Linked DNA regions of Elephas maximus indicus. The protein of the gene in region 1 purifies or fractionates together with the protein of each later gene. This does not show direct contact. Links are inferred from orthologs where the notes say so. Each region holds a gene or a part of one and is shown on either strand. Other genes may lie near its edges. The genes, in order: INPP5K and GART.

Region 1 (16,042 bases):
AACTGTGTACCCCTTGGCCCAGAGACCTCATTCCTTTGTAGCAAAGGCTCCAACCCAGGACCACACACTGCAGTTCCTCCATTTTTCTTTGATATTCTTGAAGGTTATAAGCTTGTATAATGTCATCTTAGTTTGAGTTTGTCTGATATTTCCTCCTGATTCCACCCAGTTTGTGTATTTGAAGGCAGAATATCACAGATTTGGTGTTCTTTTCATTATACCCTATCTGTTTAGTTACCACTGATCTTAACTTGGTTCACTTGAAGCACAACAAGGTTTTCCAGGCTCATCTCAGTCTTTCCATAACCTAGCCCTAGAAATGCCCGTTTCTCCAAGCAGCCCTCATTCTTTTTAGTGGAAGGTGGGTGGTGTTTGGAAACCACCAAGATCTGGGTGCTAGGTATGCTCATTACTGTTGGGGTGTTGCTGACCCTGGTTCCTCTCAGTGGATAGTGCTAGGGAATCCTGATGTCTGTATTTATATCGATCTTATGTATATATTGTGTTCACACAAATGCCTCCAGTTCCAGTCTAACACCACAGGGTGAAGTCTTTGTCTTTTAGAAATGAGCCAATGCCCTTGTCCTTAACAGATTTCTTTCATGTAGGAAATTGTTGAATTTGTGAAACAATTGTTTAAACTTCATAAAATAATGTATCTATAGGCATGGAATGATTTAAGTTACAGGTGCAGTAATAATTTATAGATGCCATACAGGGAAGGAGATTTGAGGGGAATCTACAGGAGGCAGACATTCCAGGTGGAGCTAAGGGTCTGTTCAAAGATCTGGACCTAGGAAAACAGACTTTCCACTTTGGAGCAGAGGACCTTTGCTGGGGACCATGACAAGTGAGGCTTATAAGACTGATTAATTTTATGGCTCACCAGTGCCCTGTCTCCTGTAGATTCTGCAGGTCTAGGGCCCAAGAACCTACACGTATCCCAGGCAATTATTTTGATCAAATTTGAGGACACCCTGGCCTAAAAGATCAAGCGAAAGCATTTAATGTAATTAGGGTAATAGTTGTAAAAAAAAAAAAAAACCCTTTGCCATCAAGTCGATTCTGACTCATAAGGACTCTATAGGGTACAGCAGAGCTGCCCCAAAGGGTTTACAAGGCTGTAATCTCTACGGTAGCAGACTGCTACATCTTTTCTCCTGCTGAGCGGCTGGTGGGTCTGAACCGCCAGCTTTTCGGTTAGCAGCCAAGTGCTTAAACATTGTGCCACCAGGACTCCTTCATAGTTATCAAGAACCCAAAAAACAAACCAAACCCGTCTCATGAATTCCGAATCATAGTCACCCTATAGGTTAGAGTAGAACTGCTTCTTTATAGGGTTTCCAAGGAGCACCTGGTAGATTGAAACTGCCGACCTTTTGGTTAGCAGCCATAGCTCTTAACCACTACTCCACTGGGGTTGCCAAGTTATCGAGGTTATCAAGTCGGGTGGTGAATATTGGAACCTCTGTGGCAGGCAGAGAACATTGACCACGCACATGCCCTGTTTCTGCATGGAGTGACTGATGATAATAGCAGGGGTGGAGGGCCGATAGTCATGGGTTTTTTTTTTTTTTTAATTAATTTTTATTAAGCTTCAAGTGAACATTTACCGTTGCAATCAGTCTGTCACATGTAGGTTTACATACATCTTACTCCCTTCTCCCACTTGTTCTCCCCCTATTGAGTCAGCCCTTTCAGTCTAGTCATGGGTTTGAGATGTGGCAGGCAGCAAAATTTTTAAAACTTTTTCCAGTAGAGAACCACTGATACTAAGACAAAATCTTTGCAAAATGTGGCAGTGTTAAAGTTTCAGGGACTAGCACTCTGAAGAGGGCTGCCACTTAAAATTCCAGCTTCTTCAGAGCTTGTGTGCACATCCCTTTGGAGTGTCTGGAACAAAGCAATAACAACAGAATAATAAATAGCATATATTGAGTGTATACGCCATGCCAGGCACTCTAAGTACGCTGCCTGCGTATCTTGATTATTCTTCACTGCGACCGCATGATGTCTGTGCGATTATTACTCCTATTTTATAGTTGTAGAAACTGAGGCTTAGAGAGCAGCAGAGGAACTTGCCCAAGGTCACATGATTAGTGATGGAGCCAGAATACCACCCAGGCACTTTGCTTCTACAGGTCACGTTCCCATGTGTTCAGTTTGCTGAATGCATCAAGAGTGAAAGTAGAGCAGGAAGCTATTGGGTATTGAAGAAACCTCTAATGGGAAGTTAAAACACACAAATTCATAGACAGTCTGCAAATAGAACCATAATTTTTTGAAGTTGGAAAGGATTTTAGAGAAATCAACCTCCCCAGCACCCCAAGAACTTGTGCCCACTTCTGCTAGGGAGGTGCCAGTGCCCACTCAGAGGAGCCCACCCTGTTTTCCAGCAGCCTAGCACTTCTGTGAAGCTGCGATCTAGCCCCTGCCCTTTCCATTGTCAAGTCCTTGTGACGCACTCTGATTCCCCATTGTGGCCACCTGATACTTCTGGCAGATTAACTGGACGAGGCCCCTAGGCAGAGCTTGGGAGGGGGACTTGCTGGTCCCTCTGCCTGGATCACTCCTTCCCCCGAGAGTCATTGGCTTTGCTTCCTCAGGTTTCTCCTCAACTGTCACTAACCAGAGAAGACTTCCATAGCCAGCTTACAAAATAGCACTTGCCCACGGCCATTCTCATCCCCAGCAGCCCTTCGCCCCACCTGACATGTATGTTTGTTCTCCCTTCACCCTGCCCCAGAAAGTAAGCTCCCTGGGAAGAGGCTTTGTCTGTTTTGGTTCACTGCTGAATCCCCAGCTCGGGAACAGTTCCTGCACAGAAGAGATGCTTCATAAATATGTGTTAAAGAAAAAGGGGGGCTTAAGACCTAACCTCAACCCTGGGAAGCTGGAGAGGGAGGCAGATTATAAACGGTGCGGCCTTTGCTGTGGCGGATGTGTTCTGAATCCGGTCCTTCCAGTTTCTTGCTTCGTGCACAAAAAAATGCTTTACCATATCTGTTGGCAGGATCGAGGGAAGGTGGGATGTGTTTGTAGTTGTAGCAGCAAGAGCCTTCAGTTTTCTCTGCTTCTTCTGTTCCAGATGAGACAGAAGGACCCAGTGAAAGGAATGACAGCGGATGACTAGAGCCACCCTCCCCCTTCTGCACTGTATGTACCGAATTTCTCACTGTACAACGTCATGAAACCTAAAATCTGTTTGGGCCCTCAAGGCCTCAGCAACTCAGCGTGGAGCCAGAAACCTGCTTCATTCCTCATCCTTCCCTCTAGTAATGATGATGACTGCCATGCTAAACAGCTCTCAGGCTTCAGGGCCCATTGAGAGCTTATGGATGTTAGGATATTTCAGGGACATGTTGTTTTACAAAGAACTGCCTAGATGGACATAGGGTGGTGAGAAGGGGAGGTGGGGAGGCATGCACATGGAATCCAAGTTTATTTATAGTAATTACTCTTCTCCTCTCAAAATCTGAGCCATTTTAAGTTGAAGCTGGCACTCCCTATACTCCCTGTGCCAGAGCGGGTTCCTAGTTCCCAAATGCTGGCATTCCCCGCCCTGCCCTTGGGAAACCTGCTGGCCAGACAGCTTTTCCTAGCACCCATTGTTGTGTCTGGTGCTTCATTTCCTCCTCCTTTATACCCCTGATCCCATACTAAACAGCCATCCTCATGAGAGGTGGCATCTTTTCAATGCCAGGAGAGTCTTTCTGCCCAGGCCACAGGACCAGGATGGGGTATCCCTTGTTCTACCTTGTTACACATCCTTCCATTGACTCCTCACTGCTGGTTCCCCAGTGCCCTACACACCTCCAGACTTGCAGTTGCCAGCAGCACAGTGTGGTCTTGGCCATAGAATGAAAAACCTGGCCCTGCTCCCCATCAAGCTCTGAGAGAAAGTTATTTTATCAAATCAGAACTGGCTAGCCTCCAGCACTCAGGAGCTTTGGGGCCTCACCAGCAGTGCTTCACACCTCTGCTCTCCTCTCCTCTCCCTGCCCCTTGAAGCAGCCGCTGGGAGCCAGGAGGGTAGGATTAAGGAGATTGTTGCAGTGCCGGTTTCTCAGCCACTGTTTGGGCTTTAGTGCCCTCCCTTTCCACCCTCAGCCCTCCACTGACTGGCATCTTTCTTCCTTTTGAAATTCTCCCATTAAAGGTGATTTACAGTGTGTTTCTATTTCCCCCTGTTGCTTCCTTAATAATTGTATTTTTCTTCTAGTTTTGCAAGACAGTGGTCAACAGGAAGGCCCAGCAGCTCTACCCTCCCGAGTGACAGGCCACCTTCGGACGCGCCTTTCTGTGCCCATTCTTCAGGCAACTTTCGATCCCTTACTGTAGCTAACCCTAGATGCCCCTTACTGTTGTGAACAAATAGACCATCTGGTATTATGAAGGCCGTGTGTGCGGGAGCCTGCTCCTCTGAGAGATGTGGCATGTATGCTGCTGTATTTACAGCTCCTCCCTCTCTCTTCATCGTGTTCTGACCCATTTCTCTGTGTGTCCACCCCCCCCCCCAATTTTATTTCCAAGTGACATTTTTAAGTCTTTCAAAATAGCTGCCTTTTGTGATGTGGTGATTTAAATGATTTAAGTCTGTTTTCAACCTTGGGGTAAACTGAGGTATTTTGCTTCCTGGGCAGATCTTTGCAATTTTGAGTGCTCACCTGGGGAGAGGGGATGAGTTAGAAATACAGCGTTTTCCCCCCCAGTTCCACAGAATAACAGAGTGGCGTCATAACTCGGATATCTATTCCCGGTAATCCATTGTTAGAGTGCTCTAGGCACCAAGGAGGCACCCAAGGCCCAGCCAGTCTCTTTAAGAAAATTTAACAAATACAAATAACCCCAGTGCCAGGCATTGCACCTCTGGCCACTATTTCTTAGAAATACCTATGGCTTCTCAACCCTCTTGTTGCCCACTCTGTCTGAATCTCTGTGCAGAGCCTGTCATATGCCCCAGCCAACTCTCCACCTAGAGAGCCTTGCCCTGTTTGGCCTTTAGAATTGAGTCTGCCCCGTATATACTCATCATTCTGACTCCCTGAGGAGCTCTGTATGTCAGTGCTCCTCTTCCCTTTTGGGCTGGTGCTGCCACTCAGCAATAATCCTCTTTTCTCTGTGCTTTCTCAGATCCCTGTCCTCTGTCTTTGAGGCTGATTAGGGCTTGAGTCCTGATCTTTTCATGCTGCACAAAATGAGCATGCAAAAAGCTTCCTTCCCAGCAAATCATGTTCCCACTAGTCTCCAGGGTTGCTGGAAAGGAAATTGGGGATCAGGGACTCAGCTTGTCTTGCCCCTATGCTGAGTTCTGTCCTAGATAATCAAATGCAAGTAGTGGTTGTAGTACAGAACTCTAGCACAGTAGGCTAGTGAGGAAGTCCAGGCTCCAGGTGAATGGAACCTGCTAAGGGGCTCACAGTTCCCTGTGATTTGGCAGAATTGGAGTATGCCTACGTGGTGGGAGAATCTGAGACAGCTATGGTGTCACCTGACATTTCTCTCCCAAATCTGGTGAAGTCTGCTGGCCTGAGTGTGCCATCATCCAGGCCCACACTAGCCTGGATGCAACTGCTAATAAAAGAGATAGAGTCTCCATGAAGGGAGTGAGGAGTTGGGGGGGGGAGGGATAATTTATCCTTATGTTTTTTGTCAGTTTGCTTTGCCTTACTCATTTCTAAGTGCAATAAGGGAGTATCTCACAGGATTGCACCTGTGACACCCTGATGGATGCTTCCCTGTGGCCCTTCTGGGGCAAGGGTGGACACTCAGACCCCTTAGTGTGGCTAGCTCTGACCTTCATTGAGGCCCCTTGGGGACCAGGAGATGTCCTATTACAGACACCTTCCTCTTGATTAGTCTCTTCACCTTGTGGAGTCTGTAGTAATGGATCTGGAGCATTCCAGTTGGTTATTAGCGTCCCAACTGCTAGTAGCATTTATTCGACTGGGGAAGTTGGAGAAGAGGCATTCCTACTGGAGAAAAATGTAAATGTTTTCCTACAAGCTGTTTTAGCTCTTGCTTTTATTTGTGCATAAAGGCTTCCCTTTTTCAGTCATTAACTAGGTGAAGTCTAGATGTGGGTTATCCTAAGAGAAACAAAACGATATTCTAAGCAGACAGTTGTTTTTGTAATTTGAGGATCAGCAGATGTCTTCTTCCTTCAGCTGAGAGCCACACATATCACTTCAGCTTTAGTGGGGGCTTTTTCTTTAGCTGCCTTTTCTCTGGCTCTTCTCACCTTCACCTGTTGCCCCAGTTTAATCTGGAATAAAAGCATCTACATGAGCTGAGCTAGAATTTCCTGAGGTCAGCTTGGATCTTGGGTTCCTACTCACATAAATACGGAAAAGGCAGGTCCCTGGTCCACTTCATCCTCATGGGTGGTGTTGCTGCTGGGTAACAGTGGTCAACCTCTTTTACATACCCCCTTCCCTCTTCACCCATCTCCCAAACCAACTAGCACTCAGAGGGGCTTAGGATGAAGGGCTCAGCTCCAGGGGTACTACCCGAGGATGTGCCACACCCCTTCAGACCAGCTGGTTCCATTAGATTTCCAGGGACATAGTCCTGTCTGGAAGCAGCAGTGCCTCTGTAGAAGGGCTACTGGGCTCTGGCCTTCTCACAGAGAGAGGTCGGAGACAGGGTCAGTATTGTGGGCACATGTATACCTTCCCGAGTTCGTCTCTTACAGTCCCTGCTGGGACCTTCCCCCCGCCCTCCGACTTGTTTTGGTTGGTTCCTAGTGCTACTTCTTTTACAAAATATACTTTGTAGAATTGATTAGATTACCTTGTTTATTTAATGTGAGTTTGTGCCTTTTTGTCTCAATCTTCCAATACAGGTATATTGGGGAAAAAAAGCAGTCTAATAAAATTCTAGACAGAGCTCTCTGGAGTCCAGCTTATTGATGATGTCCTTATGCACATTTTACAACTTAGATATCCTCAAACTCTTGCTCATGACCCCTATTTTACCAGAGAAGGATTAGGGAAGGTTACAAGATGTGTCTGAAAATTTGTGCAGGTGGATTTCTGTAAGTTAAAACATTGCCTTATCAATTTACATATGCAAACATTGCATATCTGAGTGTAACTTAGCTGTTCTGTACTGGTAGAATGCCTTTGTCTCCCCTCCTCTTCACATCTCCCTCTCTACCAGGCAAAGCATTTAAAGTAGGAGTTCTTAACCTGGCTTCGGGGTCTATGAACCTCCTGAGGGTTGCTTGTAAAATTGTTTGTTTTTCTGGGGAGAGTCGTGTCTCTCATGAGATCCTCAAAGGAATCCCCTGCCTCCCCCTCCACCCCCCCCAAAAAAGGAAAAGAACCAAGTGATTTGACGGAAATTATAGTAGATCTTTGGCAAAATAGTCTTAATTTTATATGTCTGGTCTTAGAGGTGGTGACTTGTTTTTCATTCATTGATGGTTAATTTTCTAAGAGTCCAGGAGCCCCAAAATGTCCCACGTGCAAGAAGTAACCCAATGAGTTTCAAAAGCGTAAAACACTTGAAAGTGGGAGTAGAGCATGAGAACTAAGAATGGAGGAGCTTGATCAACGTGATAACTGGGGAAACTGCCTGTAGTTGATGGGGAAGATACTGGGCTGCAGGTAAGACAGTGGCTAGACTACCTCGCCGCCCTCATCATTTAGGTCTCTGGGCGTTGGGAAACGGGAGGAAAGACAGCACAGAGGTCAGCGACCTCAGATTTCATCTTTAGCGAAAGGGACCACCAGCCTCGGAAAAGCCAACGTGGGCAGCAGCGGCTCGAGGATTCTCGTGCGGGCGCGGCGGCGGCTTCCGCCGGAAGACGATGCCGGCCGGCCTGGCGCACGGCGTTCCGGGCGCTGCGGACCGCCGAGAGATGTGTTCCGGGCGGCGGCGTCTACCACACACCGGTATGCCGGGTGGGGCAGTGTTGCGTCTTGCTCTGATGACAGATGGACATGCCTCTTACGTCCCATGATCCCCTAAGGCCCTCACCCCGCAGCCTTTCACCGTTTCGCGCTGGTCGGAGAGTCCCGCCTCCTTCACGGAGCCGCACCACCCAGAGCCCTCGGTGCGCTCAAGACCCGCCTCTTACGGAAGCCGAGGCGGAGGTTCTGAATCCGGAAGAAAAACACTCGAGCCGGAGTGAGTTTTCCGGGGTCTGACGCCGGAGAGGCTGGTCGCGCCAGGACGGGGTAGGATTGGGGAAACGGGAGCCTGCCGCGCCACTGCCTATGGACGATGGCGGCCGTGGACCTGCTGAAACCGACCGAGCCGAGAGGCAGGAAGCTCAGGTGAGGCAGACTGCTGTAGGCGTGCCTGCTCTGGGCGGGGTCGCTCCCCCAGACCCTGTCGGGGCAGTGGATCTGGGGGCGGACCCAGGCCGAGAGGGAAGGGGACGGTCCTACTGGTTGCTTCTGGTTCAGAGGCTGCCTGACCCATGGGCGGCTTTCCGTCCAACTGTTTCTCTGATAACTGTCTCTCTCCCAAACCCTCCCAGGCCATTGTTGAGAGGGCTGTGTTGGACACGAGTCCCGTGCCCACTCTAAACTCAGGCTTCCGAGTTCATTCTCACTGGGGCGCCCCAAGCAGGTGTCCCAGGTGGCCTTTGGAGGAGGCAGCCGTCTTGGGCTGTTTGAACTTAAAGACATAACAAGGCATCTCCTTTCAGCCCTAGAGCAGAAATCGTGCCCTAACTTTCGATCAGCGCATACATCATGGGGTCTGTCTAATCTGCTTGTGACCTCCTGAAATGTGCAGATTTAGATAAAATCCTTTAGTAAAGTAATGCAGCCTAGTCCCGTGCCTCTTCTCACCGGGGAACAACGCTAATCACTCACTTGGTGCAGGTCACAATGCAAGGATTTGCTGCTGAATCGTCGGACCTGAGAACTGGGGCAGGAAATCCCAAGCTGTGCTCTTGTTTCCACTTAGAAGCAGAATCCTGAGAATACAAGGAGCCTTTGAGTTAAAGGGCAACCCTTCTTAATCTTCTGCTGGACAGCAGGGGGAGATGGTAAACAAATGAAGCACTTACGCCGGGCAGAGTGCCTGGGGAGGTAGTTTGTGTTTTGCTTTTTGTGTTCATAGGGAGGGGCAGGAAGTTGCTTTAAGAAGGCTAACGGTTTTTTCAAGTTTTGCTTTTTAGAACATGGACCTTCAAGAACAGGGTTTTGCGGAAAAGAGGTGTTTTGTGATATCCTGCCCTTTTCTCCCACCTCTCCACCCCCCAGTACCCAGTCCCATTCTAGGTCTTCAGTTGCTGCAGGTTCTCCTCATGGTGTGGACACTCTAGAACTCATGGGGCTTGATGGCTATTCTCGGTCTCTGCAGGATTTGCAGCCCCTGTCTGCTCTGTACTCAGCACAGCCTGGGGCTTCCTTGGTGTGTTGCTGTGACAATTCGGTTAAAGAGATCACCAATTCTGCCTTCTCCTGAGCCTCTGATGCGATCCAGTGTCATTGAGAGTTGCTGACTTAGTGCTGTTGCTTCCCAAGGGTTCGTATGAAGTTGAGGTGGAGAATGTTACCCAGATGATGACTTTTCCCAAAGGAGGGTAGACTCTTTAGAGAGATGTTGAGAAACCTGTTACTTGGTTTTTCCTTAGGCCCCATGCAGTACTTGGCAGAATTGGTTGTGCTCCAAGTATCTGCTAGGAAGCAGTGAGGAAGGGAATATATGTATGTTGTTGCTGTGCTTTTTTAAATTTTTCTGTCTTTGTAGTGTCGAGGCCTCTCACAGGTGAAAATAGAGCCTCCAGGATCTTCCTGGTGGTTTCAGAAATCCTTAGGTTGAGAAAGTGAGGGTGGGCAGTTGCTGCCTGAGCCATGATTGCTGAGGTTTGAATGGCTCGTAGAGCTGATGGAATCAACAAATTCCATCTCTTCCTGCAAATCCCACCTCTTCCCATGCCTGACCCAGAAACCTTGGGCCCCCTTTGATAGCTCTACTAGTGCCAGCAGCCCCAGTGCTCCCAGGTGTGAGCAGCTGTAGGCCTGTGTGGAGGAGTTATTCAGAGTGAGGGTTTCTTGCCTCAAGAGACAGAGGTAAAAAACAACAAAAGCTTGTTCATTGCCCCTATTCCCACTGCTCGATACAGAATCTCACCTTCTTCTTTATAAGTGCACTGGATTGTGGTGCAGCATTAACAGGCCTGCACCCCTTCCCATTTCCTGGACAAGGTCTTATCCTCCTTCTTCCATGACTTCCCTTTGCATCCCCTCCACAGCATACACGTTGTGACGTGGAACGTGGCCTCTGCAGCACCCCCACTAGACCTCAATGACCTTCTTCAGCTGAACAACCAGAACCTGAATCTGGACATATATATTATTGGGTAGGTGTCTGCAGGGCCCCTTCACCCACCCCTAGATCTGAGGTCAGGTGAGCCCAACCATTCACAAGTTGTCCCTGTGGGGAACCGCTGTAACCTGTCCTCCCACACTCTGGAGTCTGAAGGCTAGAAGCTTTCAGCCTGCATCGGGTCAGGTCCATGTCTCTTGTCCTGGGTCAGCAATGACAAGGGGATGGAGACCCACAGCCAGGGGAGGAAGAGACCATGGTCATCAGAACCCAGGACTTAAAAGTCTAGTGAGGGTAGGGCTAAGTGTGGCAGAAGCAGTACCCTCCAGGCCAGGGGTAGAGCCTCTGACCTGGGGTGGTCAGTTTGCAGGAAACGAACTGTGGGATCAGGAGCCTTCTTTATGATACTGCCTTTGAAGACCCATGGAGCAGTTTCTTCATGGATGTGCTTTCCCCTCTGAACTTCGTCAAGGTAACTTACAAGTTCATTGGTGATAGGGAAATGTGCCCCACCACTTGTCACTAACCCCCAGTCATTTGGTCTGATGTGTTCCTCTTATTCCCGCTCAGGTTTTCATGCTGCTTCACATTTATTTAGAGATTTAAATCTTGGTTGCATTTGGCTCCACAAGGCTCCTGCCTGCCTCGTGGCTTTCCAGAGCAGCTGGAACTGAGTGAGGCCCAAGGGGCTAGTCTAATACCTTGATATTTTTCAGGTTCGGAGAATTCCTAGGGGAAGTGCAGCAAAGCGTGTGAACACCGTAATACCTGCCCTACCCCTAGCCTCCAGTCTCTGCTCACACCTAGCCTGAAATCTCTGAGTGTGATAATAATTGTTACCATTTATCAAACTTACTTTGTGTTAAGCATTGTAAGTAAGCACTTTATATACTTTATGTAAAAATCTTAACAACCGTCTTGAAATAGGGATATTTTACAGATAAAACCAAGGTTCAGAGATCACATGCCCAAGGCCACACAAGCTATCTGGAATTTGAATCTCTCTTTCAAACTTCGTAACCTGTGTTCTTAACCACTGTGCTTTATAGCTATACTCCTGAGCTTTAAGGCTGGCAGGTATCCCATGGCTAGCCTGCTGGTGGCAGAGGGTGTCCTCCCGTCATAGGGGACATATACCTCGATTTCTCAGGGCCCCAAGGTTAGGGAAAGGGAGATAGGTGTGGAGGAAAAGGTTCTCAGGCTGAGGGACAAGTATACTTTGGAAATATTTGGATCATAGGCAAATGAATCCACACGAAGGCTATAGGCTGGCAGCTCTTTGTTTCTGCCCTGCACACCAGAGCAATGAAACACGCTCCCATTTAATGCAGCTACTAGGGTGCTTCTTGGAAACACCACAGTTCCCTGTTCCCTTCCCTAGGTGGGCTTCTTCTGGCCCACACAGGATGATTCCATTACACTAGTTGGCCTGAGTACAAAGAGGAAGGAGGGAAGACAAGCCTTGGTCCTAGAAACTACCAGCCCCTGAGCACTTGGTTTTCTCCAAATCAAACTCAGAGACCTCTTCCTGTGGATTTGGAGCTAGATCTTCTGGGGAGGGCAAAACTCCTTCTCTCTCACCACCTACTCCCCTCCCAGGGCTGCAGGCCTTGTGCTTTGGCTGACTGGGAGGGGACCGACAGAATGGAACTGAGCCAAGGAAATTAGCTCAGCTGTGGCAGGGATACAACCCATTCCATCCTTGCAGCCTCCTGAGTTTAGAGGGCCAGCCTCAGGTCCTGGGACCCAGAGCGAATGCCTCTCCTTCCTCCAGCCAAGAATCAGGGTGGAAAGGAGAGCCCTGTTTGCAGCCTGTTCTTTGAGTGGGGATTTACCGAACGTAGGTTGAGAAGCTAGAGGCTGACCCCTTTGCCTGCTCCTGGACTCCCAGCCACCTCCGTCCAATCCCTTCCCTAGCTCTTCCTCCTTCATTTCCTTTTACTGGGACTTCCGCTAGAAGTTGCCTTGCCTTTCCGCTAGCCCCGCCCTTTCTCCCAGTCTGATCTTGCCCAGCCGCAACCCCATCCTCCATCCTCCATCCCTGTTCCTTAACAGAGTGGACTGGTCCCTTTTCGGTGGAGTTGAGTAGCCCACACCTGCTCTATGGGTGAGGATTAAGCTCAAAACTCTTCCTGAGTCTCGATCAGTTCCCTACCTCTGATCCTGACCCTGGGAGCCGGTTCCTCATATTCCACCCCTTCTTCCACTTCCCTTGTCTTAGAAGCCTGTGAATGGGAGGGAGAGAAGGCAGGAGGAGGGGCTTAGGATAAATTTTTTAGTAACCTCACCCAACCACAGGTTCTGCCACCCCCCCACTCAGTCTTGGGTTTGGGGTTCCCCCTGCTTTGACTGCTCCACTGTGCCAGGACTCCCTGGCCTGTGGGATCATGTTGCATAATTCCTGGAAGGCCCCAGTACACGCTTCCCACCCGGGGATTTCCTCCTTGGCCTCTATACCTCGTGCTCCGGAAACAGCTACTCGGGTGGTGGGTGTAGACAGCCTGAGCCTAAGAAGGAGGGTCACTGGCTATGGCCTTTCCCCAGCCCACCCCCATGGCCTCAGACGGTGGGAATTTGGGCTGTCCTCCTCCTCTGATGCCGCTTGCCAGGTCATCCTGCTAGTTCCTTAACCTCCTTGAGCCTCAGTTCCCTCATCTGTGAAACATTACAATGATTCCTACAGGCTTGGCCTGGGAAGTTAAATGAAATAATGCGTATAAAACGTTTCAGTAGATATTAGCTATTCTCACCAACCTGCAAACACACATCCTCTGTACTCACTGTCACCCACTCTGCGTTACCATCATGAATATCCACCAGCCCACAGCCTATCGTTATTTGTGAGGGGAGCATTTACTTAAAGTTGTTTTTTGTTTTTTTTTTTTTAAGTATAATGTGTACAGGAAAGTGTGCAGATATTAAGTGTACAGTTTGATGGATTTTTACATACGTACACACCCACATTACCACCAGCCAAATCAAGATACAGAATATTTCCAGCACCTAGAAGTTTCTTTCATGTTCCTTCCCTGTGTTTACTTTGAAGAGTCCTTGAACCAAAAAATAACAGCTACCAGTTAATCCCCTTTAAGATCTATGCAGTAGTACTATCTCTGCTCATCAGTGAGAAAATAGACTGAGAAATACGTTCAGTATCAAATACTAAGTCAGAGCCGGGATTTGAACCCGGATCGTGCTAACTTCAAAGCCTCCTTAGCACGCTCCTGAATAGCCACATTTCTCCTTGAGGCCCTGCCAGCTCAAGTGGCAGCCCAGAGTACCTGGAGGATCTCAGAAGGGCAGTGGTGAGAGGCGCGCAGTAGACGTGCTTGGGCGAGGAATGAAGAGTAATGCCCTGCTGTTGGCAGGGTGTCCTGGCCCACTCTCCCCTCCTCCCCACGCCCAGGAGGTGAAACTGAAACCTGCTCAGTTCCCAGAATGCGTGATCTGGCAGATGAGGAGAGGAAAGGAGTGAAACACGGAGGCTGAAACTGGGATAGCATCGACCCTGGGCCAGGGCACTGTGTGTGTCTCAGGGCTCTGTGGCACCTGCAGTGCAGGGCCTGGCAGGGAGGCACTCAGCCTGTCAGTTCAGTGAACGACCATTGCTCCCGCTCTTCTGCAGGTCTCCTGTGTCCGCATGCAGGGGCTCCTCTTACTGGTCTTTGCCAAGCATCAGCATTTGCCCTTTATCCAGATTCTCTCTACCAAATCCACCCCCACTGGCCTCTTTGGATACTGGGTAAGGACTGAGCTGTTGTCTGAGTCACAAGCCGGGAAGGCCTCCTGTGCCTGGGCTGGGAAGGGCTGGATGCATTAGAGCCAGGCAAATAGAAAAAAGGGGGAAATGAACCTTTGCACTGTCTCCAGGCCATTGCCCTGCAAGCTCATTCCTGAGACCTTAGTCTGGGTGAGCTGAGCTCTGAATGAGAGATTACCCTGCAAAGCTGAGTGTCTGGCCCTTGGAGGGCCTAGGGGAGGTGAGATTACCTCCCCTCGGGTCTAGGATGGGGAAAGAAAGGTGTGTCCAACCCAGAGCAGCTTCCCACTCTTCTGCCCACCTGTCCTACCAGGGGAACAAAGGGGGCATCAACATCTGCCTGAAGCTTTACGGCTATTATGTCAGCATCATCAACTGCCACCTGCCCCCACACCTGGCCAACAATGACCAGCGGCTAGAGCACTTTGACCGGATCCTAGAGATGCAGAATTTTGAAGAACATGATATCCCCAACATCCTGGACCACGAGTGAGCGCAGAGCTGCCGATTTCCACCTCTGCCCTCTCCCCTACGCCAACCCAGTTTAGCATCCTCTCCCCAGTCACCGCTCCCCAGCCAGAGTCAGCTTGTGCTCTGTCTCCCAGCCCCTTCCTGATGCCACGTCTTCCCCTCTGACCCAGCTTTGCCTGACTGGGCTCTGGGATCCCTTTCCCCTTCCTCTAGTCCATCTGCCCTGGCTAGAAACCATGAACGCTTCTGAACATCCCAGGTCAAGATTCTTGTGGCTCCTGAGGTCACCTGAAGGGCTGTTTCTGAGCCTTCCCTGGTGGCCAATTAAGGGAGAGCTGCAGTTTGCTCCATATTTGCCACTTGCCCCTCTGGCTGGTCTCTTCGGCTTGAATGGTGGTACAGGAACCATGAGAACAGTCCATTTGGGCCCCTGCCCTGTCTCCACCTGATGCTCTTCTAACATCTGGCTTCTCACCTGCCCCCTGGAGCTTTCCACTCTCCAGCAGCCCCTGGGTTGAGCAGGTCTGAGCAGCCTGTTACTCCTCCCTTTTCTGAATTCATCACAAACCCTCAGGCTGCCCTCCTTTCTTTCTGAAGCCTCATTCTCTGGTTCGGAGACATGAACTTTCGAATCGAGGACTTTGGGTTGCACTTTGTTCGAGAATCCATAAAAAACCGGTGCTACGGTGAACTGTGGGAGAAGGACCAGGTATGGAGTGAGGGGAGGGTCCCGGGGGGTGGTCTGAGCCCGTGATCTGACAGGACGGGTGGGGAGAGTGGCTCAGATTCCCCAGGGTTTGTTTGCCTTTCCCAGCCTCAGAAGTCCCCATTCCTGGGCAGGGAAGAGTCTACCAGGCTTTGCACCTGGAGGTAGGACAGCCAGTACTGTCAGTACCTGGCCTTCACCTGCAGGAGCTAGGGTACAGCTGCTGGGTGTGTTTAGAATAGGGAGTGAGAAGGCCTTTGGCCTGTCATGGCCCTGCACCATGCTTCAGCCCACTTGCATCCCTGCCTCCTCATCTCTGCCTCCCTCCTTTGAGCAGCCAACTGCCAAGTTCCTGAGCTGTTAAATACCCACCTTGTCATGTCATCTTTCCCATCCCAGGCTTGCTTGCCTCCTGAAGGACAAGAAAGTACCCCTATGGGGGACCCTGGCTACCCCAGCTTTCTTCCCCTCTGACACGTGCCTGCTAGTGGCTCCTAGAGAGGTGGAATTCAAAACATGGTCCCTATAGTCCAGGACTGGGAAATGGCAGGCAGCTGCCTCCCCCGGGACTGTGGGATAATGTTTTCAAAAGGGTTCAGCCACTCTCCCGGGGTGGGAAGGGGTGAGCTGAGGCTGCCATGGGGCAGTGAGGAAGTGGAGAGGTGTCGCTGGACCCTTGCCCCACTCATATGGCATGCGTGATCCCTTGATGAGTGTGGTGCTGGGCCGTTGGGTCGGAACTATTAGGAGATGGGGACTATGTTTTTCTCTGCAGCTCAGCATTGCGAAGAAACGTGACCCACTGCTCCGAGAGT
Region 2 (16,105 bases), on another chromosome or scaffold:
AGAAGGGGGCCCTGGCAACTCTGGCACCGGGGTAGCAGAAAGCCCAGGTAACTCCAGCGCTGGAGTCACAGAGGGCCCCTGCATCTCCGGCATGGAGGTCGCAGGTGGCCCCTGCAACTCCATCACTGAAGCCACCGACGACTCCGGCAGCTCCAACGCCGTGGCCTTAGGCAGCTCCAGCAACTCCTGCGGTCTTGTGATGGATGAATCTGCACTCTCCAATGGTACTTCTACAGGCTGCTCTGTCAATCTTAGTACGTCAGGTACAGATGACTCTGGAAAGCCCGTTGTTGTCGATGTGCTTGGCTCAGGGTGCACCTCAGCAGATGTCTCTGAGGATTCCACGAGGGTTTCTGCTGACTCTAGCATTTTTGCTACTGGAGGCTCTACCAACACGATCTTTGATGGCTCTGGAGATGTGCTCTCCAAAGGTTTCAGCACAGGAGTCATCTGATACTCCATCGACATTGTTACAACCGGCTCAGGTGACTTCAGCACTAGTGCTGGGGTAGGCACTGGTGCTGCTGGAAAGCAATCCAGAATCTTTGCCGTGGATGGTTCCAGCATTACTGCCATAGAATGCTCTGACTGCTCTGAGATGACAGATGTAGACTCAACTTGCAATTCTGCAGTCTTTGTAGCTGGCTTCAGAGTTTCAAAGTTGTGTGGCTCTGATACCTCCATTGCAACTACAGGAGGTTCTAGCACAACTGCAGGGGAATCACCGGTCTCAGATAAGCCAAGTGCTCTTACAGGATGCTCCAGTCCCATCACTGAAGGCTCAGAATCAAACTTCAAAAAGGAATCTGATTCTATATCTATGTTCCCATCATGATGAGATTTTGGCTTTGACTCAGGTTCTTCTGGCTGTCTTTTATATTTTTTCTCCTTTTCTTTCTTCTTTTTCTTTTTTTTATTTTTGTGCTTTTTATGCTTCTTTGACTTTTTGCTAGGAATTTCATCAGTAGGATCTGTTTGTACAGATACACATCTACTTTTTCTGGAAGCCTCCTTCAAGTCTGAAATTAAGAGAAATTAAAATTGTCAGACATCCCCCAAAATAGATTTAGATAAATGACATAAACCAAGATTTACATTCCATGTTAAAACACCATTGTATGACACCTCGTTATACTCACAAGGCACGTATTTATATGTTTATACCCACATTTACCATATGTTCACACTCCTGTGTGCACTAATGAGATACAAAGTTGCCATATCAACTATTTTTTGTAAATCGACTAATTTGAGGACTAAAGCTGAGATTAAAAATATTAGTTTATTCCAAAAACTTATCTAGAAGTAAGACGTGTTTTACCAAATTCTACTAAAATTTTCTCCAGCTCACAAATTCCAGAAAATTACTTTTAAACGACTCTTTCATATTACTGTTAGAACTGCTCTACCAAGCCAACCAATCACTGCCATCAAGCCGATTTCAACTCACAGCAACCCCATAGGGTTTCCAAGGCTGTAAATTTTTACAGAAACAGACTGCCACATCTTTCTCCCACAGCGCCTCCGGTGGTTTCAAACCTCCAACCTTTCAGTTAGCAGTCAGTTGCTTTAACCACTAAGCCACCAATGCTCCTTAGAATTTCTATAGTAATAGCTAAATTAAATAATCTTTTGATGAAAAGTTTTACACAGCAAAACATACGCCAAATCAACAAATTCTACACATACAATTCCGTGGCACTGATTACATTCTTAAAGTTGTGTAATCATTCTCACTATCCTTTTTCCAAATTATTCCTCCACCATTAACATAAGCTCACTGCCCTCAAAGCTTCTCATCTAACCTTTTCAGTTGCTACTGTCAATCTGACCACACACAATACTTTAAAAGAGAACAATCAAACCATTTTTGCAATTACTTTATAACCCCTTCTTATATAGGAAGCAACATGGCACCGGCACTGGAACAGACTGCATGCTTTAGGTCCCGCATCTACCACTTATTAGACAAATAGTCTCAGCCAAATGACTCTCTGTGCCTCCCAGAGTTAGATGACTGAGTTAAAACAGAGGGACACTGAACAAAGCCTGGCACACAGTAAGCACTCAGCAAATGTAAGCTCTAAGCTGATATTACTATTGTCATACAGTATACAAATATCTGAATGAGAAATGTAATCAATACAATCCTCAAATTTTATCTTATCGCACCCATCTGTTACGTTCCAATTTAAAAAAAAAAAAAAAAACTTCCCCCCAATACTCTTCTGAAATTACTAACAATTTTTTTTCCTTTTTTTTTTTTTTTAAATAAAGTGGTTTTGGGGAGAAAATTCTTACAGCCTTTAACATCTAATTTAAGAGCATTTCAATTTGCATACGCTAAAGTATGTGGTTTATAATTCGTTTTATAAGCAGATGGGATTTAATCTAATGCCAATATCAAATTATATAAATCAGTGATCCCAGAAAAAGCTGATCAGAAATCCAGGCCATTAAGACTACAGAAAAAAATAAATCAATACATGAAAAGACACACGCCAAAGCAAAAGTAGTCATTTTCTACCAAATACTGTTTATTTTATGACACCAAATGTTAAGTTAGCTAGTATGTACTTCCAGAGAGCGACGATTCTAACCATGGCTAAAATCTATGCTTTTTAAACCATATTCCATGTCAAAAAGAAGACCAAGCACATCACAATTCCAAGACTAAATGAAGATACTGTTTTTGTCGTTGATCATAAATCCTTCACTTCATCAATTATTTATTTCTTACTAAAAAAAAAAAAAAATCCAAACAATGATTCCCTCCCCAATTCATTGCACTTTTAAGTAGGATGGATGCAAAAACAAAACAAGCTCTAACCAAACCAAACCAAACCCACTGCCATCGAGTCAATGCCAATTCATAGCGACCCTACAGAACAGACTAGAACTGCCCCATACTTTCCAAGGAGCGCCTGCCAGATTCGAACTGCTATCCTCTTGGTTAGCAGCCATAGCACTTAACCACTACACCACCAGGGTTTCCAAAACAAGCTCTAAGCTTGGGCTTTAAAGTAAAACTTTCCAGGGTAAATTTTAAAAGTCACTACTGGTTTGATCCAGGCTCCTGTACCTTTCAAAACAGGTATTTATACGAGTGTTTTATGAAAACCTACATTCAAAATCCTGGCACTGAGGTATTACAAGACTGAATTAAATAAAAGTCACATTCCACCAGCAAAGCCAATAAGTGCATCAATGCTCATGTTTCAGTACAACTGCATTTGCAAAGAAATATTTAAACAAGAAAGTCTGCGACGAATCAATTAAACAAAAACTTAAATGTACTGAAGTTTTATAGCTAGTAGACATTTTAAATACCTTGCAGTCAAAATATAATACTATTAACATTCAGATTTCAAAAAAAAAAAAAAAAACCTTGAAACAAAATTTTTGAGATAGCTTATTATCTCTAACTTACCTGGTTTATATCGTAGTTCTGTATCTAAAACCCCAGAAAGTACTTCCTCTATCTTTTGCACTATTTCTTCATTTGGTAGGCTCCTGGCAGAAGCAGCTGAATCACCTGCCTGGTTTCCTTCAATAGGTGTACTGGTTTCACCATTCAGCTGGCCTTCATTCCTCCCACTTGATAAGAGAAGTTACCAAAACTCATTAACATTTTTAATATACCATACAATAAAATCAACACTCATAGTTCAACTAATTAAAATAATTTTATAGCAAATTCTTCATAGAATTCACCCCTTTTATGGTTCGTTCAGGTGCTATTTCCAGTAACAGTGCTGCCTTAACACTATCTACTTACCTGGTACATTTTCATTTTTACACATTTACTTATTAAAGTTCTCAGAACTGCAAAAGTAAATTTACCTTTTTTTTTTTTAAATAAAATACTCCCAAAATTTTTAATTGAGGCTTTTGGGTTACACAGGTTATTTCCCTCAAGTACAAAAACTATTAAGAGCCAAATCACAAATTCAAAGAAAAATATATGACCTAGCGTTAGAGTAGAAACTATGGGTACAATCAAGCTATGCCTGTGCATAGATCACGATTACCTCAATAATATCCCAGAACACAAAAATTAGCCACAGACACATTAGGTAAAAAAGAATATAACATAACTTGTAGCCTCAGATCAGGTTTAGACTGCTAAAAGAATATCACAAAGCGTAAGAAGAAAAATACATGCAGGAAGTTTTAACCCAGTTATAAAAAAATCCCAGTACCAAAAAATTTTATGATATTTAAAAAAAACTCACAAAACAAGCAATAATTTATTATACCAAGAAAAAATGAGTGGGTAGTCTAACATATTTTCAATCTACAGGGCCAGAGAATATTGACAGATATAAGAACATATCATTTACAGTTGTTTTTTTTTACTACTATCGTATAAATTAACAAAAATGTTTTCGAAAAACCATATAATTTCAACAGCTCAATTCTACCTAACTGAAAACAACAATTATGCTCAATACCTGATAAAGGTCTCAATGGTCAAAAAATGAAAATACTCACTAGATAAATCTTAATAGGAAATATTCAGTTTTCTAATACAACGAATCATGTAAAAACTAACACTTAACTACTAATTAGGTGTCACTCTTCTACATTTTTAACTAATTTAATCCTAACAAACCTCTATAATCATGCCATTACTCTCATTTGGGGAGGAAAATGAGGCACAGAGAGAACAAGAAACTTGGCTGGATGTCACACAGCTACTTAGAAATGAAGCTGGTATTCATAAGCAGAGCATCCTCTTAACCACCAACTACATACAATACTTATGTTACTTATCTTAAATATCTAAAGGTCAGCCTCATTACCCACACTGATGTACCTAAGAGCAGACGGAGAAAAAACCTTAATGAAATGGCAAATAATCCAAAATATTTTTAAATTGATAACACATTACATGTTGCTTATGGTGAAGCTACGTATCTTGTATTTCGACAGTAATAAATTGCTTTCTCTAATACTCTTTTTAGACTTTGAGTGCTTCTTTTTACTTTTCCCAAACACTTATTATGTAACTCTCCCTTCTAAAGGACCCCAGATTGAAAAATCAGAAAAGTACACTAAAAAAAGTTCAATCTATGAGGAAATTATCATGATTGAACCTTATCTCTCAATTTTTATGACTGCTACCAGGATGCAAACTGAAATTACTAAAAAACAATGAAAATATCAAACAACCTAGCTATCCAACGATACATTCCCACAATGGAATTCTACACAGCCATGAACAATGTTGCCAAAGATTACCGAGATTGTGGTATGACAAACTTGTTTATATATTAAGTGAAAACCAAAACAAAGAAAAACAATCCCATTGCACATAACATATATATAATTACAGATCTGTATCTGCACAGGAAAATAAAGGGGCATAACACCAATAATTACACGGGTAGTTTTCATTTTCTTTCTTTTAAATATTCTACAATAATATTTATTTTCTAATAAAAAACTGATTTTTGTTACTTACAAAAGCAAAACTTACACACTAAGCAAACACACGACTTTCTGCATGCCACTATTAAAAAGCTTTCAGGGAAATTACATTCCCTTTGCTCAAGTTTTCTTTCATTATCCTAAAAACATTAGCATATAATTTTTTTAAAAAACCATATAATGAGCAGATACATTTCCCATCTAAAAAACAATACATCTGCAAAAATAACACTTTGGACAATTTTAGCAATATTACTCCATTGCCCCAATAATCTCATGTTAATTCGGACACTTAATTTACAATCACGCTTTTATTTTCAAGTTTACTCACTGCTCATACGCTCTACTTTTAACACACAACTAGCAAAAACATTCGAACTCAAATATCTGACTTAAGCTTTCTTTCCTATCTCTACACTTGAAAATAGTATTTTACACAAAGCAAAAATATTAAGACAACCACTGAACAACAACACGACCCACAGTACTTTCCTCTCTGAGTAAACAACTGTTTCTTTGGAAGTCACTTCCCTTTCTATTTGCGTGGAATCAAGCCTAAACTCCAGAACATGTATCAGCGACAGTAAAAGTAGCGGGTTGGTCAAATATGTCAATTGGGGCACGAGTGGCAAGAAAAAGCAAACTACACACATAAGCCCACTTTCCACTTGTTAAAATTAAAAAATGACTCATACCCCAAAGAGCCCTACCATCCTCACCTCAAATATTTTTACAAAATACCTAACTAATTTCAGCTACTTTCATTTCAGTCTCATCAGAATGTCGACGGACGGAAATCATAAGACGCTGGGGCCCGAATAATCCAATTAACGAATGCTCATTCCCAAACCGTCTGAAGATTACAAAAACAAAGCGGGCTGAAGATCACCCAAGAAATGGCCGTTGGAGACCCTCTCCGGTCAGCGGCACCGGCCGGCCAGCTCGGCCGAGAGGGGGAGGGGAGCGGCGGAGGCGGAGCCGAGGGGCCTAGGCCCGGCCGCCGCGGACAAGCCGGCCTGCGAGGCGTTCAGGCCTAGGGGGTGGCCGGCCGGGAGAGAAGCGCCAGCATCGTAACTCGGCCCGAATGAGGGAGCCCGGGTCACCGCGGAAAGGGCCAAGTTCCTCGCAGGGAAGCAGAGCGCGGAGGGGGGAGGGGAAGCCGGAAAATGGATCCCAGGCCCAGGCGGGGCTGTAGCGGGGCCCGAGCCGAGGAACGACGGCTTCTCTGAAGAAAAGCCCCAGGAAAAGCTACAATGGGCCCTAACGGACCCTTGGGACGAGAACAGTCTGGGAATCGTTTACCTGGAAAGTTCCTGTTGAATTTCCCGGAATTTGCTGACCACGAAAGACCTAAAAATCTGCTCGATGTTGGTCGCCATGGCGTCCGCTCCGTTCTCTCAGCTCCTCCTCGCTAGTCCTCCAGGCTCCCAGCATGCCTCGGGAGGCGGCGCTGCGGCCAGTTCCGTCTCTCCGCTTCTTGATTGGCTCCTGTAAGAGCGATGGCACAGGCACGCTTTGCCGTCGAGCCAATCAGTGAGCACGGTTCCACTTTCCTCCGCTGTTCCTGAGCGGCTGGGGTAGAGCTGCTGACGTTTGCGCCGCGCACGGCTCAGTCCGCCATGTTAGTGTCTGACGCAGGCGCCATTACAGGAGAAACCTCTCCCGAGGCGACTGTGTCCGCTTATCAGTCCCCAACATTGTTTTGGGGGGGGGCGGGGCCGGAGAAAGGGGTTAATAGGTTTATTTAGCGACTAAATGCCCGAGATTAAATGCTATGAAAAAGGGGGAAATGTTTTGACATGGGGCCTACAGGCGTCCCCGTGTGGCGCCAAGTTCTGTTCGGTCAGGGAGACGCATCCAGGAAAGCACGGGCCAGCCCGCGCCCCTATTGTGAGAATGCGGAGAACACGCTTTCACCCCGCCTGTCCCATTGCAGCCTATCATCGACCTCAATCTTAGCCAGAGGCCGGAGGTCCTGAGCGACCGGTTCTCAAAGCCGGGCGCGTCACGAGACTTTGCGCTTTGGCTGCTCAGTGCGGACCCTCGCTAGCAGCGCCCCCTCCTCAGAGCTGGGAGGCTCTCGGGCTGCAGCGGCGACGTTACGTGGCGCCGGTGTTAGTGTCACATTCGGAACGTGCGCCGCTTGACAGCTTTGCTCAAGAGCAGGCTCTGGCCGCGCCCGGGGGCGGGAACCACACTGGATTACCTCGCCGCGGGGACCGAGCGCAGAGCAGGCCAATGAGGCGGCGGCGCCCGCCCGGGGCGGGGAGGAGCGCGGGCGGCGGGAGGGTGCGCGTCGGATCCGGCCCGGCTGACTTCCGCCGCGGCGGTCCGGCTCGGAGCGCGCCGACGTGAGTTCGAGTCGGAGCGCGGCCGCCAGCTCGGTGCGTGAGCAAGCCGCGGCCTTGAGAGAAAGCACGTTTGTGCTTGGTGTGGCTGCTCGGTGTCGGGTGTGGCCGTCGGGATTTTCGTCTTTGTTTCCCAATGTGGGGGGTGGAGGTTGGCCACGTGCTCTTCCCTTGCTCTTACCTGGGGCTTACGTTGGCTTTATCACCTTTCCTGCTTTCTGTGGTGTCAGGGCTTTAACTTTCTTGTCTATTTATGTTTTCTTAGGCCCAAGACTTAAGCTGTTGTGCCCGTTTTATGGTGTTTTGTTTCTATGCACCCATTGTCTGCAGCAGATTAATTAGGTCCGCTTTTGTAATTGGTTTCTGTTTTTATTATTCAGCAAAGGGTTGGAAATAGTTTTACCCGGCTTTCTTGTTCTGGTTATAAGTTGCTCGTTTTAAATATAAGGCGACTGAGGCCCGAGGAGGGTAGTTAAGTTACTCAGGGGCTCCCAGCTAATGAAAGGCAGAGTCTCAACCAAAACCCAGGCCTCCGAACCACCCTGATGTAGATCGTTTCGGGCTAAGTGATGCTGTTTCGTAATTAACTGTTAAAAAGTAAAAATTGTTGCTGTCGAGTCGATTCCAACTCACAGCGACCCTATAGGACAGAGTGGAACTGTCCCATAGGGTTTGCAAGGAGTGGCTGGTGGATTTGAACTGCCGACCTTTCTGTTAGCAGCCGAGCTCTTGACCGCTCCACCAGGGCTCCTGATCTATTCCTTCACTGCACCTGTTATTCCAGGAAAATGCAGTCCTTTATCTGGATTTAAGGATAAGTTTATCTCAGATATTTCAGTCCATGCATTTTCCTTGAAAATACCTCTTATGCCCTCCTAGTGCAGTCGTTTCTCTGTTTATGAATCTCAATTTTTTATTCAAAAATGAATCCCAGGGTTCATTTGCAAATCGTGGTTTCTAAAAGATGTGCACTCTAAAATATCAACCGTGGTTTTCTTTATGCAGCGTGTGTTTTTCTTCAGAGTTCCTGCTTCACAGACAACCATGGCAGCCCGAGTGCTTGTCCTTGGCAATGGAGGAAGGGAACATACTCTGGCCTGGAAACTTGCCCAGTCTCATCATGTCAAACAAGTGTTGGTCGCCCCAGGAAATGCAGGCACTGCCTGCTCCGAAAAGATTTCAAATGCTGGTAATCGTGTTTTAAAGTGGGAAATAGTAGTTATGGTTTGTGATACGCTGTCAGCCACCTCTGGCCATAGATTGCTATTCAGATGTTTTTGTTTTGTCAGCCTTAAAAGTTACGTGGTAATTTGAATATCTGCATGTGTAGTAAGCCTAAGGTATTCTATTCTTCATGATGTGACATTTTCTTCTCTTAGGTTACCTTAAACCCATATTTTATAAAACACGTTCATCGAAAAAGTAACAAGTACTTAATAGTAGATTAGAAGCATTTCGATGTCTATTTTTGGAAATGAAAAGTTGAGCAGTTCTCTGAAAATGTAAATCCTGGTAATTCTAATTCCATAATAGATCTCAACCCTTATCCCTTCCACTGATAAAAATGATCAGTTCACACACTACGTTAAACTCTTTGGCAGCTTCCCATGGCAACTAGAATAAAGCTCAAACCCTTTATTGTGTCTTACAAAGCCTTTTGTGATCTGGCTTCCTTCTGCCTTTCCAGCCTTTTCTTTTATGTCCCTTTTTTCTCTTTTCACTGTGCTTCATCCATGCTCTCCTGCCAGTTTCCCAAACAGAGCTCTCTTGGACTCAGCATTTGTTCCCGTCATTCGGGCCTCAAATGTTACCTCAGAGAGACCTTTCCTGAAGTTTCTAACTACAGCAAGTTTCCACCCCGTCTCATTTGTTTTCTGTCATGAGCCACTGTTTATTTTTACTCTTTCCTTCTGTATTGTCTGTCTTTTCTCCACCCACCCCCAACCCACCCACTAGAATGTAAGCTGCGTAAGGACAAGGAACTTTTCTATCTGATTTTGCATCCTGTCCACACTGCCTAAGTACTCTATGTGGCACGTACTAAGAAAAAAACAACGAAGAAAATGCATGCTTCCCTGGGGTTTTAGCTCTTGGGGTGAGGTGCAGTGCTGAATCTGTTTACTGGAGAACTGGTACACTTTATTAAAACATGATACCCATCAGAGCCTCCTAAGATTGTCATAAGGCTGCTAGCACTGGCAGCTGCCGAGGTTAGATGTGTACTCTCGCTTTTACTGAGCACATGCTGATGTAGTTGGCTCTACTCAGCACAATTATACATGGAGCTCTTAACCCAGGGTACACGGTACTCCATCCCTACCTGAGTCAAGCAGTTCCTGTGGGTTGAGAACTCATGACTTTTTCTGGATATGTACCTTAGGCATCGCAGATACTACCTCTTGCCCCATCCCATATAGGTATGTGCGGAGTCACTGAGGCTTCAGCCAACTGAAGAATGGTAGTTTAGTTAGAGTGAGGCAGAGAGCGTCTGTGGGACCCAGGCCTGGTACGTGGCCAGTGCTACTGCTAGTTACTTAGAGCTGCATCAGAAAAGAAAATTTACCTGGTCTCTAGGTTGAAGAGGCGAACTGGGTCTTAACTAAAATCGTCCATCAGTTCTTAGCCTAAATGTCTCTGCCTCAGAGAGAACCATCATTATAACTGAAAACAGCCTCCCAATTCATCTCATATCACATTTGTGCAATCTGTTTATACCCAGTAGTTTCTCGTTTAGATGTTAGTTACCTGGCTTTGCCACAGTGGAACGTAAACATCGTAAGTGTAGATGCCCTGTTTATGTTAATATCTTAGCCCCAGTGTTTACGATACTATCTAGCACGTGTTTGTTAGCTGCCCAGAGAGTCAGCCCCTGACTCATGGCAGTCCGTGCACAACAGAACAAAATGGTGCCTGGTCCTGCACCATCCCCATGATTGGTCACAGATCAAACCACTGTGATGCATAGTTTTCGTTGGCTGATTTTCAGAAGTAGATCGCCAGACCCTTCTTCCTAGTTCGTCTGAGTCTGGAAGACTAAACACGTAGCACATGTCCTGTGCCATCGAGTTGATTACAAGTCATAACAACTCTATAGAATGGAGTAGAACTGCCACATAGGGTTTCCTAGGCTGTAACCTTTACAGGGGAGCCCTGGTGGCGCAGTGGAGCTTGGCAGCTAACCAGAAGGTTGGCAGTTCTGAATCTACCAGCTGCTCCTTGGAAATCCTATGGGGCAGTTCTGCTCTGTCCTGTAGGGTCACTGTGAGTCAGAATCGACTTGAAAGCAATGGGTGTGGTTTTTGTTAACCCTTACCGGAGCAGGTCGCCAGGTCTTTTCTCCCACGGAGCAGCTGGGGGGTTCCAACGGCCAACCTTTCAGTTAGCATCCAAGCACTTAATTATTGCACTGCCAGAGTTCCTACCTAGCACATAGTGGGTTCTTGATAAATCTTAACTGAATGACATTAAAAGACCAGTTCCAAGTATGCTCTGTGATAATACTTTGTTTGCTGTGTAGTCAACACTGGTGATGTGAACACCACAATCAAGAGAGATAAATCTTAACTGAATGACATTAAAAGACCAGTTCCAAGTATGTTCTGTGATAATACTTTGTTTGCTATGTAGTCGACACTGGTGATGTGAACACCGCGATCAAGAGAGCACTTTACAGCTCTTTTGTAGGTTAGCTGGTATTTTCTTCTAGCTGGCTACAGTGATGGCAGAAAACTGAGCTTCGTTGGTTAGCCCGATGCTCTCTGTTCTGAATTTCTCACAGTGAGACTCTATAACAACAAGACCCTCAGGTAACAAGCATACCAAAAGACAGTACTTGGTTTTTAGCCTTACACTTAATTAAACAAAAAGTGCTTGTGAATGACGTGGGCTGTTTTGTTTGTTTCCCTGACAGCCATCTCCGTCAGCGATCACACCGCCCTTGCTCAGTTCTGCAAAGATGAGAAAATAGAATTCGTGGTTGTTGGACCAGAGGCGCCTCTGGCTGCTGGTAAAGTTTGTGTCTGTTTGTTGTTGCAGCATGTACAGTGTCTACGGGAGGTTTAAGATCTTCTACTCTGGCTCACGTTCGCAGATGAGGACGTCTAATACAGTGTCACGTTGGGAAAGAAATTTCACTCTTCTGAAATTTACGCATCCTAGATCTTTTCTCAGACAGTAACGAGATGAGTGCAAGGTCAGATTTGTAACCCTAGGGAACGTTTTGTGTGTGCCAGTGGTCTCCTGACTCTTAGCCAACTTTGGGTACTGTCACACATATATAAGGTAGATAAAAGTGGGCTGGGTTCAGTCCTCGGTCTCATTTCATTCTGCTCTATTCTGGCATCCATATAATAAGTTCTGTAATTGTATATAACGACGTTTGCTGAACTTGAGTCACGTGTTAGTAACGTTATCATTTATATTTATTAGACGACTTGAAAAACATAGCTGTTCATCTGCTTTGTCCAGATGAGCCTGGAAATGGAAACTTGGTTTAAATCCTACTTTGTCTTCAGTGTGAAAAGCCCCTGGAGAGGACTTGGTTCACTTAAGGCTCCTCGTTTCCTCAACAGGAGTTGTTGGTAACCTGACATCTGCAGGTGTGCGATGCTTTGGCCCCACAGCAGAAGCGGCTCAGTTAGAGTCCAGCAAAAGATTTGCCAAAGAGTTTATGGATCAACATGGAATCCCAACTGCAAAATGGAGAGCTTTCACCAAACCTGAAGAAGCCTGCAGCTTTATCATGAGGTAGATCGCGGGCTGCCTAGGAAGGGCAGTTGTTTTGTTGTGAGATTTAAATGCATGGATCACTTTTATGTTCAAAATGTAATGGTACGTGCTTATGCTGAGTCAGAAATTTAGAGTATGGTTATGAAAAAAAAGAAGTTCACAGTAAATATTGGGTAGGTCACCTTTTACTGATATCAGAATAAAATGGGATCCTACACCTATATTAAACTCTGGCGGCATAGTGGTTAGGAGCTACGGCTGCTGAACAAAAAGGTTGGGAGTTCAAATCCAGCAGGTGCTCCTTGGAAGCTCTGGTGGAGTTCTCTGTCCTATAGGGTCACTATGAGACGGAATCAACTTGGCAGCAATGGGTTTGGGTGTTTTTTGGTTCACGTGTATTTATACGATCTCGTGACCTTGCAGAAAGATGATTTTCCGATTAGGAGCCCTGGTGGCACAGTGATTAAGAGCTATGGCCAAAAGGTCAGCAGTTCGAATCCACCGGCCGCTCCTTGGAAACCCAATGGGGCAGTTCTCTGTCCTATAGTACCTCTGTGAGTCGGAATTCACGCTACAGTAATGAGTAATTAGTGAGTCTTTCCTAGAGACGAAGTCCCTCCCGCCCTGCAGTACTGTGCTCTTTTCACAGCCAGATTGACAAACAGCAGTGTTTTCAACATAAAGGGCATTGATTTTTTTGTCATAAATAATTAACCAGGGTGACGAATTATCGTTTGGTCTGTTGCCATCACTCCAGCTCTAAATCTTAAAGGCAAACATCCTTTGTTCTCTAATGTGGAAAACATTGAGCAATTAGTGAATGTTGGCAGACACATTCTTTTGCCCCCCCCCTTTTTTTTCTGACACGTCTTCCTGAGACTTGGTGTGTTTTTCTTTCATTTGAATCAATTTCATTCCTTATGATGATTCTATAGGGTTTCTCAGACACTGAATATGATTATTTAGTAGTAGCCAGATGCCCTGGTTACGTCTTTCCAGATCCCCAGCCCCACTCAACAGAAGAAGCTACCAGCAGCAGCTTTATATGTGGACTTCCAGAAATGATCTGTGTCTACATCCTTGTATTGGTCTTAATATAACCACGTTTTCTAAGTGAATAAGCATAGGGTTTGCTACTTTGTAATTTAAAGACCTTTCCATATTTCCTCTATTAAAAAAAAAAAAAAAACCTACTGCTGTCCAGTCGATTTTCATCCACTCTATACATCTGTTTTATTCTTACGAAGATTGTTTTCATAACAGAAAAAGCTTAGGTGATGTCATGATAAGTGAAAAAAAGCAAAATTGAATGTAGTGTTACAGTCACAACTGTAAAGGAACGTGTAGGAAAAAATCCCGCTGGGAAGGACATCAGAATCACGATACGCCACAGTGGTCGCAGTAACATCATTGTAAAACCCAAGGGACTTAAAACCTGAAACAGTGAGGATTTGTTGGACGTTGAAGTTTAATCTGTCTTCACAGTGCAGACTTCCCTGCATTGGTTGTGAAGGCCAGTGGTCTCGCTGCTGGGAAAGGGGTGATCGTTGCAAAGAGCAAAGAAGAGGCCTGCAAAGCCGTCCAAGACATCATGCAGGTAGCTTGATTTTTCTGGAAAAGTTCAGTTTTCTATTCACGCCGGATGTACTGTTTTTAGTTGTAAATATATATGTAACAAAACACTTGCCATTTTAACATCTTACTTGTACGATTCAGTGACGTTCATTACGTTCATCGTGTTTTCCAATCATCACCGCCATCCGTTTCTACATTTTCCCATCACCCTTCAAAGAAGCCCGGTGTCCCCTGAGCAGTTGAGTTCCTTTTTCCCCTTCCTCCTTGCTGTCCGTGACCACTTTTATACTTTGGTTTCTATACACTTGCCCATTCTAGACAATTCGTATAAGTGAGATTATACAGTGTTTGTCCTTCTGGATAAATAAATGTCTCTCAAGATGGGGGGAAACACATCTTGCAAACACACAGGTCATGTATTTTTCGCAGTAGAGTGTGTATTACAATCCATCTCTGTAAAAGGGTATTGTAGATCTACACTGGTGGCTAAATCTGACTCAATTCTTTTGAAATAAGTTCTAGCATCCTTTGTTGTCTGCTACTCAAAAGACAGAAAATCCTCAAACTACAGAGTATATAATTCTCAAATCAGCTGTGAGGACAAAAGTACATGTCCTGTGTATCCCAAGCCTAAGAGGAACAGAGCAACGAAGTAATACACTTGGCTTTTCTTTTGTGCTCCATCTTGGCTGTTGTGGGTTTTTCTTCCGTCATACAAATCTGCCTTCAGAGGTGTATTTTGGTATGATTATTGTAGACAGACATACCTAATTGGGAGTAAGGATTATATGACGATAATGAAAATATCTGTTTTCCTGTTAAAATATTTGAAACTTGAAAGCCAAACCTCAGGAAAGCGTTAGTAATGTGATCACTTCATCTGTGCCAGTGCCAGTTCTGCATTGTTGCCACACTGAAAATCAGCATTCGTTTATTCCACTGAGGCTTTCAGAAAGGACAGGTCAGGCAGCTACCAGCATACTGGGTCGTAATACAAATGGTGGAAAATGCAGAAGTCAACTAGGTGAAGGCTAAAAGCTTAGAAATTTACTGACTTTTTGTTGTCGTTGTTGTTAAAACCTACAATTAGGACAAAGCTTTTGGAGCAGCTGGAGAAACAGTTGTCATTGAAGAGCTTCTCGAAGGAGAAGAGGTGTCTGTACGTATACTTCTCGCTGTTGGCTTTTATACCGTCCTAGGTGGTTGGTTTAGTCATCTAGTGCTGCCATGACAGAAATACCACAAGTGGATGGCTTTAGCAAAGAGAAATTTATTTTCTCACAGTCAAGTAGGTTACGAGTCCAAATTCAGGGCGTCAGCTCCAGGGGAAGGCTTTCTCTCTCAGTCAGCTCTGGATGAAGGTCCTTGTCCTCAGTCTTCCCCTGGTCGAGGAGCTTCTCAGGTGCAGGGACCCTGTATCCAAAGGATGCACTCTGCTCCTGGTGCTGCTTTTGCTGCTTTCTGGGTGGTATGAGATCCCCAACTCTCTGCTTGCTTCCCTTTTATCTCTTGAGAGATAAAGGGTGGTACAGACCACACCCAGGGAAACTCCCTTTACCTTGGATCAGGGAGGTGACCTGAGTAAGGGTGGTGTTACAATCCCACCCTGATCCTCTCAACATAAAATTATAATCACAGACTAGAGGACAACCGCAGAATACTGGGAATCATGGCCTAACCAAGTTGATACATATTTGGGGGGGGTGCATAATTCAATCCATGTCATATACCTTGTAAGAAGCTGTTTTATCTGATTTAGGAGCCCCCAAAAGACTTGATTTACCCTGGTTGCTTCATCTGAAACCGAAGCCCCCCTTCCCCTCCCCCCCAGCTACAAAGGAATTTATATGTGTTCCATACCTGGAATGCAAACACACAGAGAACTTTTATCATCTCTTTTAATTGTCCCTCCTGTACTGGTGGGGGAGCACAATAACATTTCACACACTGATATTCTAGATTCATCCAAACATTAGTGGTTTTTGTTTCACAAAGCTCTCTATATGATAAATAGTGGAATA

What was found.
Region 2: the proteins of INPP5K (region 1) and GART purify together in Homo sapiens (co-immunoprecipitation; 3 studies listed by BioGRID and IntAct, counting the BioPlex papers as one, with this or other methods). This does not show direct contact. The link is inferred for Elephas maximus indicus from reciprocal best matches to the Homo sapiens genes INPP5K and GART.

Annotation. Positions count from the first base shown.
Region 1 is NC_064837.1:20,170,948-20,186,989, forward strand, and holds the start of INPP5K (inositol polyphosphate 5-phosphatase K), read left to right. Parts: upstream 1-7,947; 5' UTR 7,948-8,229; coding exon 8,230-8,282; intron 8,283-8,288; exon of another isoform or gene 8,289-9,486; intron 9,487-10,216; coding exon 10,217-10,324; intron 10,325-10,653; coding exon 10,654-10,762; intron 10,763-13,915; coding exon 13,916-14,032; intron 14,033-14,363; coding exon 14,364-14,539; intron 14,540-15,118; coding exon 15,119-15,230; intron 15,231-16,002; coding exon 16,003-16,042. Other genes in the region: PITPNA (phosphatidylinositol transfer protein alpha isoform), read left to right, coding at 3,089-3,133. UniProt on the Homo sapiens protein: Inositol 5-phosphatase which acts on inositol 1,4,5-trisphosphate, inositol 1,3,4,5-tetrakisphosphate, phosphatidylinositol 4,5-bisphosphate and phosphatidylinositol 3,4,5-trisphosphate.
Region 2 is NC_064836.1:28,046,812-28,062,916, forward strand, and holds the start of GART (trifunctional purine biosynthetic protein adenosine-3), read left to right. Parts: upstream 1-7,708; 5' UTR 7,709-7,817; intron 7,818-8,786; 5' UTR 8,787-8,825; coding exon 8,826-8,970; intron 8,971-11,691; coding exon 11,692-11,787; intron 11,788-12,352; coding exon 12,353-12,527; intron 12,528-13,994; coding exon 13,995-14,106; intron 14,107-15,174; coding exon 15,175-15,243; intron 15,244-16,105. Other genes in the region: protein SON, read right to left, coding at 1-1,019, 3,431-3,597, 6,736-6,812. UniProt on the Homo sapiens protein: Trifunctional enzyme that catalyzes three distinct reactions as part of the 'de novo' inosine monophosphate biosynthetic pathway.